2 linked regions of the Neurospora crassa OR74A genome follow. The main gene of each other region encodes a partner of the protein of the gene in region 2 in a complex. Links are inferred from orthologs where the notes say so. Each region holds a gene or a part of one and is shown on either strand. Other genes may lie near its edges.

Evidence for each region. Proteins that work in one complex are often made in the same cells at the same time.
Region 1: the proteins of NCU09571 (region 2) and NCU04196 are in contact, whole or in part, in a crystal structure (PDB 5ERG), measured with the Saccharomyces cerevisiae proteins. The link is inferred for Neurospora crassa OR74A from reciprocal best matches to the Saccharomyces cerevisiae genes GCD10 and GCD14. Residues at the interface, in NP_014337.3 of Saccharomyces cerevisiae: Met1, Leu4, Thr5, Phe9, Arg16, Asn44, Asp45, Ile46, Ile47, Gly48, Tyr49, Pro50, Phe51, Gly52, Leu53, Leu85, Glu194, Tyr195, Ser197, Ser198, Ser199, Gln219, Glu220, Gly223, Met224, Leu226, Asn227, Leu228, Asn230, Ile231; in NP_012410.1 of Saccharomyces cerevisiae: Phe6, Ser7, Gly8, Tyr9, Lys10, Asp11, Trp22, Arg25, Pro55, Tyr56, Gly57, Ser58, Gln59, Ala61, His74, Leu76, Gln77, Thr79, Pro80, Glu81, Leu82, Leu85, Thr96, Pro97, Ser100, Tyr101, Met103, Gln104, Arg105, Asn107.

Annotation. Positions count from the first base shown.
Region 1 is NC_026505.1:5,167,775-5,171,712, forward strand, and holds NCU04196 (tRNA (adenine-N(1)-)-methyltransferase catalytic subunit trm61), read right to left. Parts: upstream 2,536-3,938; 5' UTR 2,311-2,535; coding exon 778-2,310; 3' UTR 507-777; downstream 1-506. Other genes in the region: NCU04197 (CipC protein), read left to right, coding at 3,831-3,849, 3,938-3,938. UniProt on the Saccharomyces cerevisiae protein: Catalytic subunit of tRNA (adenine-N(1)-)-methyltransferase, which catalyzes the formation of N(1)-methyladenine at position 58 (m1A58) in initiator methionyl-tRNA.
Region 2 is NC_026507.1:965,549-969,742, forward strand, and holds NCU09571 (tRNA (adenine-N(1)-)-methyltransferase non-catalytic subunit trm6), read right to left. Parts: upstream 2,808-4,194; 5' UTR 2,705-2,807; coding exon 2,616-2,704; intron 2,536-2,615; coding exon 765-2,535; 3' UTR 390-764; downstream 1-389. Other genes in the region: NCU09572 (ARP2/3 complex 21 kDa subunit), read left to right, coding at 1-164; NCU09570 (glutathione transferase), read left to right, coding at 3,561-3,572, 3,631-3,762, 3,832-4,194. UniProt on the Saccharomyces cerevisiae protein: Substrate-binding subunit of tRNA (adenine-N(1)-)-methyltransferase, which catalyzes the formation of N(1)-methyladenine at position 58 (m1A58) in initiator methionyl-tRNA.

The DNA of each region.
Region 1 (3,938 bases), on a different chromosome or scaffold from region 2:
GCGAAGCGAGAGAATTCTCGTTGTCGAGACTATCGATTTCTTAGACGATCAAGATAGTTCCACGGCACTCGGTGGTACTCGGCTGAACCGGATGCAGCTCCGTATGTATCGGTGGCTCGATTTTGCGAAAGAACAGCTCGACCAGGCTCAATACCACAGGTTTTATAGATGTGCAATGTTTGGACTCTCGTCGTCTGTTGACCTTTAAGTTGTCTTGAATCTTTTAGTTTCAAAGGCGAAAATGTGGCAAACGGGACGAACTCTTCGAGGCTTCGCCACTGCAGGGAAGATCCTCGCGCAGATAAAGTGGACTGCAATGAATTTCCAAACTTCTTTTCATCACCTGTTCGACTGGTGATGGTTCGAGAAATGAGCAAGTTATTGCACGATTATTTGGCCAAAAGTAGCGTTGATGTTTCTGGAGACAAAGCCATTCAGGTCCAAGTGTACAAGTCGATAACCCGCCTTTTGTACCCCACAATTCTAGTCGTCGCCCACTTGGGCCAGGCTTTAAGGGCACGCACCGGGATGATTTTGTTTGAATCGAGAAGCTCTTTATCTGCAGTGCTGCTGCATTATTGAGCCTTGAGAGAGCATTGGAAACCCACCAATCACGTCGTCCAATTGCAAAGTGGGAAGTTCAAGTGCATGTGTGACAATTAGATACGGGCTGAACCTGCGCCCATGTTTGTGGACATCAATGCAGTATTCTGGAAAACGCTAAAAGGGGAATCAAGGAGAGAAAAAAAAAAGAGAAAGATCCGAATGCAGCGTGCTTCACTCGACGGCCTCAGCAATCTTCTCAGCTCTCTCCTTCCTCCTCGCCTTCCTGTCGCCAATCTTTTGCAACTGCTCCCGTCTCTCCTTCTTCCTCGTCTGCTTGTCAATGCTACCAACGACAGCCTTCTCCTTGCCGCAGGGGTGCTTGGCAAACGCCGCCGCCTCGTCCTCCTCGGTCCACTCTCTGGGCAACACGGCAAACACCAGGTACGACGTATGGGTCTTGATCTCCGGCTCACCCTTAGTGATGAGGCGACCATCAACCCAGGGAGTCTGGAATGGCGGCTGCTCGGCCGACGTCTTGTCGTTGTCCTTCTTGGCTGCATCATCTCCATTCTTCATGACAGTGTCCGCATCCTCTGCACCATCCTCTCCCGCACCCCTCGGGCGCGCAGCCTGCTCCCTGACGCGTTCCTCGATTTCGGCGAGCCTCTCCAGGGCCTCTTCCACATCGTGCGGCGAGACGTTGACGCCGCGATCGGTCTGGTAATGGAGGCCCACGCGGTCGCGGATGGTGTGAAGCTTCCTGTTGGCGATCTCGACCATATCGATATCGACCCACCCGAGGCGACGCATGGCCGAAACGGTCCTGGTGACCTGCTCAATGCAGGGAGAAAAGGTGCAGATGTGTACGGCCTTCTTGGGGTTCAGCGGTGATACCCATTCGGCGGCGGTATCTTCTCCCTCCTTAGCTTGGGTCTGGGGCTTGCGTCGCGAGAGGTGCGGGAGGGCCTCCCAGGGCTTAGGGAGGTCAAGGAATATTGCGTCGGCTTCCGGGCTCTTTCCGTCAATTAAGAAGCCGCCGTTGTAGACGTCACGGTGTGTAAGGTGAACGAGGCCGTCGAGGTTATGGTCGGTAAGCTCCTTCTTCATCTTATGGTAGCGCTCCTCGTGGTACTCGAAGCTGAAGACCTTGCCTTTCCTGTCCTCGGCGCTGGAAGGGTATCCGTTATAAACGGCGCGGACGGAGGCGTGGGTGAAACTGCCACTGCCGGCACCAGCCTCGATAATCGTGGAGCCAGGTCTGGCACGTATCCTGTGCAGAATGTAGCTGTAGTCGGGAGTGTAGACGACCTGTGTTCGGTGGGGAAGACTCTGGGTCCAGAGCTCGGGAGTGGGAGGGAGCACGTGGATGAAGCCGCTGTCGTCGGCAACGGCCTGCTTGACACCGGTGGCCTCAGTGTCATTGTTGTCGGCGGTCTCGGGCTGGTTCTCTTCGGCATCGTCGCGGCTGGCATCGTCCTTGGGGCCTCTTTTCCTCTTGCGACCACGGGAGCCAGTGTCAACCTTGGATGCCCTGATTTGAGAGCCCCAGGGGACATTCAGCATGGTGGAGTGAGGGAAGGAGCCATAGCGAGTGTTGACTACGGCGCCCTCAGCATAGCCGTCGTGTTCGCCCGAGGCTTCTTGAAGGTAGATGGGGAGAAGATTGTCGCGCGATAGCTGGAGAATGGCGAGCGAGCGGGGCTTGGTGCGCAGACCTGGTTCGAGGAACGGGGATACGGTTGGTCGCGTCATGGCGTCGGTCATGAACAATAACAATGTTATGTAGATGATTTGTTGTTCTGTTTTCGTTTCCGGCGGGTTCAAGGGAACGAACCAAGGATTGTAAATACGTGGAAATGACCGGCAGAGGAGGAGGCAAACGGTCTATCAGCGGCGCGGTCGGATAACAATAATTTGATTAAAAAAAAAAAAAAGACGGGTCGAGATGCTGGTCCAGATCCAGGTCCGAGTCGCCCTTTTGGAAATTTTCTCGACAAAAATTGGAACTTTACTGCGGGGCACACGCTCGGTCAAGTGGGGCTATCAGTTCATTCCACTCTTTCAACCCTAACCCCAAAGCACACTGCACAGCTGGTCCCTTGGGCACGTCCACTGGGGGCACGCAAATAAGGTTTGCCAAGTTCTGGGGTAACCCGTCTTGGCGTGGGGGCAGTTGAACCCTCAATCACCAATCTTCTTCTTCTTCAGGTTCCCAACTTCCATCCCCTTGGCTCAAGCTGCTGACGAGTAACTGAACCCAATCAACGACGTCACTTGTAAAGAAGAAACGAAAAGCAAAGAAGCAAAAGGCTCGACAGCCCAAGTCCCCAGTTGACTACCGTCCAACGAAAATACCACGTATCTTCTGTCCCAAGCACTCTACCACGCAAGCTGGGTACTGAAGGTGTTGGAAGGTCTGGAATTCAGGGCGTATATGGTTGGTTGTAAGGAAGGGCCTGCCGCTGACAACCACCAACCTGGGGCACGTACCTACCACCAGTCTGTCGGTGGGACCCGCTTCTATCACGTCACATGGATGGTACCTACCTATGTATGCAGTCAAGTCGTGGCCAACCACTATGTACCATTACTGCACATGCTGTTACAGTATTCATAAAAGGAGGTTTTCTCCGGTTGAGGTGAAAACCACAAACTTACCTACCCATCACCAGACGCAATGGTTGAAATAGAAATTCAGAGAAGCAATGATCATTCGAATCTTTCCCTCCCATATCTGCCCTCTCTGTGTCTAAAAAGATCATCAAGAGACTGTATACTGGATGCTCCGTGGTGCTCTCCATCCACACTCTGCATCCCCCAAACCAATGTTTCCTTTCACTAATCTTGTTACAGATTACAGATACTTGTGCTCACCCTATTCGAAACATAAGCGAGGGAAAGTGTCTGTAAACCCGTTTAAATGCCGGCAAAAGGTGTGTATACGCGTAACTGTCCGTGGAGTTTCAGCTGCCAGGTGGTTCGGTTTTTAGTTCCCCACCCTCTGCAGCACTGCCATCACAAGATGGATACGTACCGACATACCCGAAGCAGAGGGAAAGGGTGGATATTGGATGAACTGTTTGGCAACTCGTATACGTCAGAGCGTTTCAGAAGCCGAGAGGGAGGGGAGGCGGGAGGAATCTCGTATTTTATATCATTGATGGCTCATACCTACTCAAACTGATCACTTCCTCGCAACTTTTCTCTTTCTTTCTTTACTCAATTGCGCAACCTTTAACTAGTAAACATTGACCTCCAACCTATACCTCCTTCGATATATCATCATGGGTTTCTTCGGTTTTGGTATGTGTCTCCCTGGTTTGAATTATGTCACACGCACTGGCTATTGTGCCAACCTCATGATCTCGTCTCTAACACCTTTCCCTCTTAGA
Region 2 (4,194 bases):
GCGACCGTCAAGACGCAGAAGTCCTCCGTCAGTACCTGTCGCAGGTCCGGCAGGAACTGGCGCAGAGGTTATTGGCGCGCGTGTACGACGACGAGACCGAGGACAAGCCGAGCAAGTGGTGGTTGAGCTTTACCAAGAGGAAGTTCATGGGCAAGGGACTCTGATGCGATGCCTTCCCTGTTCAGATGGCGTTGCATGGAATCGTTTAGCGCCAAAGTATAATACGTACTCTACACAAATAATATTTCAAGTTTCCTAGAGTGTGAGGGTGTGTTGGGGCGAGCGAGCAAGACTTTCAGTTGTTGTTGTTTTTGCGTGGTCCGGTTCGATCAGGCATAGATCGAGTACACATACACTTGAAACCCGATCATGAGCGACATGGGTTATATCTCCAGTTGACGTTCGATTAGTAGAATTACTGCAGCTCTATTTCGTGCAAATGGTATCTAAGAGCAAACGAGATCTATGCATATCGGTCATGCTGGTTCTCCTAACTGCTACCACTATCAGACTCCTGCTCATTGTTTGCCCGCCTTTCATGGACAAAGCATAATCATTTAAACCCATGGTCGCCTCCACTCCTCCTCGGCTGGTCGAGTCCACCTACTGTAAGCGAGCCTCGAAACGCTCTAACTGTCTTTTCCTTTCTGACTTTCCCTCGACCTCATTGCTTCCGTGGAAACCTCTGTGTGAGATCTTCCGATGCACGGGGAGAGAAGTGGCATCCTTGAACTCCCATAAATAACTCTTTCCGACCAATCCACTCATGCCGAAGCCGGCGTCGAAACGCTCTCCTCCACCTTTCTCCTCTTAAATTTGCCCTTGGCCGCAATCTTGCCCTCCGCTGGCTTCGCTCTCCATCCAGTAAAGATATATCCATCCGCACCACCGCGCTCCGTCATCAACGGATGCGTCCTGCCCGGCAACACCTGCCACCTCCTCGCCCTGCTAGTCTGGATGCTTGTGCCCAGTAACAGCGTGGGGTTGAGAGGGAACTGCTCGCTTCCCTCCCACTTTTCCAGCTCTTCGGCCGTCTTGCCCTGGATCTCCGCCACGTGTCCGCTGTTCCACGCCGTCCTCCTGGCAACGCTGAAGCAATCGGCTAGTGTCGCGAGAGGCTCGAGAGAAGGGGAGTAGATGGCCACGGGGGCGCCGCCGGCCAAGAGGGGAAGGGCGTGCTTGAGGATCGAGATCGGGTCCATGGTGCTGGCGCAGACGAGGCCGGAGAAGTTGCCGGCGCGCGTGCTGTCGACAATGTGGCGAACGCGGGCGTAGCGTCTGCGCTTGCGGTGGAAGTTGCCGCGGCGGCTGGGCTTCCAGGTGCTCAAGGTCTCGGGATCGGCAGTGAGGGGAGGGGTCGAGTACGAGGTGTCGAGTTCGGGCTTGAGGAGCTGCAGCCAGCTGAGCGTGAGAAGGTGGTTCAGTAGCGGGTGCGGCGGGTGTTGTGGGGCGGTGACATCGAAGTTCCAGTAGTTGAGGAATGAAAGGTTCGGTTGGCTGGCGCCGTGAAGGACGGTGATGGTGTTGGTTTGCGAAAAGGGAACGGCGAAATCGGAGTCGCGCGGCTTGTTGTCACGCGGGCGCTTGGGGTGTCGGGGAAGAGTTGTTGTCTCTGATGTTGCTGCTTGCTGTTGTCCGTCAATCATTTCCGTGTCTTTTTGGCTGGTCGTGTCAGATTCCTGTTTTGGTTCCGTCTCTTCCTCGGCCTTTTCTGTGGCTTCCTCCTCTTCCGCCGCTTCCTCGGTCTCGTCATCTTCCTTGTAGAGAACACCCATGCGCTCGGCCATGGCTGCGACTAATAGACCACCGGTATCATCGACAACTAGCCACCTTCCAGCCAGCAAGTCCTCTTGCAAGGGTGCAAGAGCCTCCTCTCCTTGTTCTGTTGTCGCCTTGGGATCCTCCAGGAAGACGTCCGCACCGCCATAGTGAACGTTACCCCAGCAACCGACCAAACCCATCATCTCGGCGCGAATGTCCAAGATCTTGCTAGCATCTCTCTCCTCCAGCTGCCAGTTGGAAAAGGTGGGAACGTCGATGGGCAGGACCTGGAACCTCCTGATGTACTTCTTCGTCTTCAACAGCTTGTACTTGGACAAACTGAAACTAGTCTTCTGGTCGAGAGCAGCATGCGACAAGAGAAGTTTGGCGATGACGTCCTTGCCGGCGTTGGTCCCGTCGCGCTTCAACTCCTCGATTTCCGCTTGTGTCAGCTTCTGGCGGGCGTTCTCGTCGATAACTTCTTGGGTAGACCGCGCAATGACGTTGCCGCTCTCGGCATCGACTAAGCTGAATTCTTCGCCAGCGGCGGTGGCAATGACGGCGTCATTGTTCGAACCAGGACCGGCAGCGGGGTTGGCGCATTCGGCGTCCTCTTCGGCGAAGACATCGGCGTAAAGTTCGGAAGGGGGGACGACTCGGAGGCGGGAAAAGCTTTCTTCGGGAAGCTTGTCTTGGACCTCAAAGGTAAGGTAGTATGGGCGTTCGAGGATTAGGTTGGCGGGGAAGGTGCCGTATTTTCCAAGGGAGATCGATCTGGTGGTGCGATGAAGGCATATCAGCATCTCACCATGTTTTGTTTACTTTGAAGCCGCCATTGTTCTCGGTTGACGTACGTATTAGGAGTGACCTGGATAACTCTGGTAACACCGGAGGGCAGCTTGAGGGCTACCCAGCTGTTGGGCTTAATTACTGAATGGTGCATCTTGAATTGCCTGGTTCGCAATCCTGTTCGTTGCTGGGTTCAAGATTGCAAAAGTGGAATTCCGATTCCCGAAGAGGAATTTCAATTGCCGCCGAGAAAAAAAAAAAAATCGGCGAGAAAAGTCCAGAGCTTAGCGCGTTGCGGGTCCTGCGGGTCCGTTGGAGGCGTGAATGGGTCTCGACCGAGACGACTCCACGCTCAGGCCCAGGGACCTTGATGGATTGGGGGGTGGGACCCACTTTGAACCTCACTGCTCAGGGGGGGTTATGCACTAACAATTACCGCTGAAGCATCAACCATCTACACTGCACAGTAAACAATCACACAATTCCAACTCTCCGTCTGCGTCGACATCTGTGGCTGTCCTTGCCGAATTTGTCATCAACTGTCGATGGGAAGGTGCGTATGACTGCCCACAGGCACAGGAGAGGGCAGTACCTCTAGATTAGGTCATACCCCAGACGAGACTTCGTCCTTTTCCACGAAATCCTTCAATTGACTTCAACACCATCCGAGTCTCGTCGTCTGCTTCTTCCCTGACTCTTCCTACGAACTGAACCATTGCGTCCACCTGTGCCCTCATCAACGCTTCTCGACTTATCCGTTGTGCTGACTGATTGCTACACCACCATCACATCATTGACTCATGTGACTCTCGAGTCGTTCCCCCCGGTTTTATTGTCGAGTTGTTGCCCAGTACCCCTCTTCTTCTTTGACCGGCCTGACTTCTTGACTTCGACTTTTCGAGGATTGCGTTCCGTTTCCCTCATCCATTGCGCCAGTCTTCATATCCGCAAACTTTGATTAGCAAGCCTTGTAAAACATCATCTTCTAGCTAAATATCTCCATACTGACAATGGCTTCCAAAGTTGGTTATGATCTATACCTCCCCCTCCAAGCTCTCGCAGCTAACCCCAGGACAACAGGATAACGAGGGATCCGGAGCTTTCATTCGCAGCGAAAGCGCATTCCGCCATTTTATCTCCCCTGATCCCAATGCTCAATTTCCAGCAGACAAGGGGCGGTATGCTCTGTACATCTCGCCCACATGTCCTTGGGTAAACTTTGCTCCTTTTTTCACTTGATCGTTATTCTTGTCGGCCGTCAACTTACACATTTGGTAACAGGCACATAGAACCTCCATAGTCCGGATTCTCAAAGGACTCGAGGACATTATCGACCTGTACGAACTCCACGCATCCATGGGTCCCACGGGCTGGTACTTTAGCGGTAAAGGTTCTTCCTTCCCTGCAGACCCCTTTTACGGCTTCAAGTACCTCCCCGATCTCTACAAGAAGGCCGACCCCTCCTTCACCGGTCCTTTTACAGTTCCCATGCTCTGGGACAAGAAGACCCACACCGTTGTCAACAACGAAAGTTCCGAGATTATCCGCATGCTCACTACCGCCTTTGATCACCTCCTGCCGGAACACCTACGTGAAGTGAACAGGCCAGGTGGCGGACTGTACCCGAAGCATCTGCAATCTTCC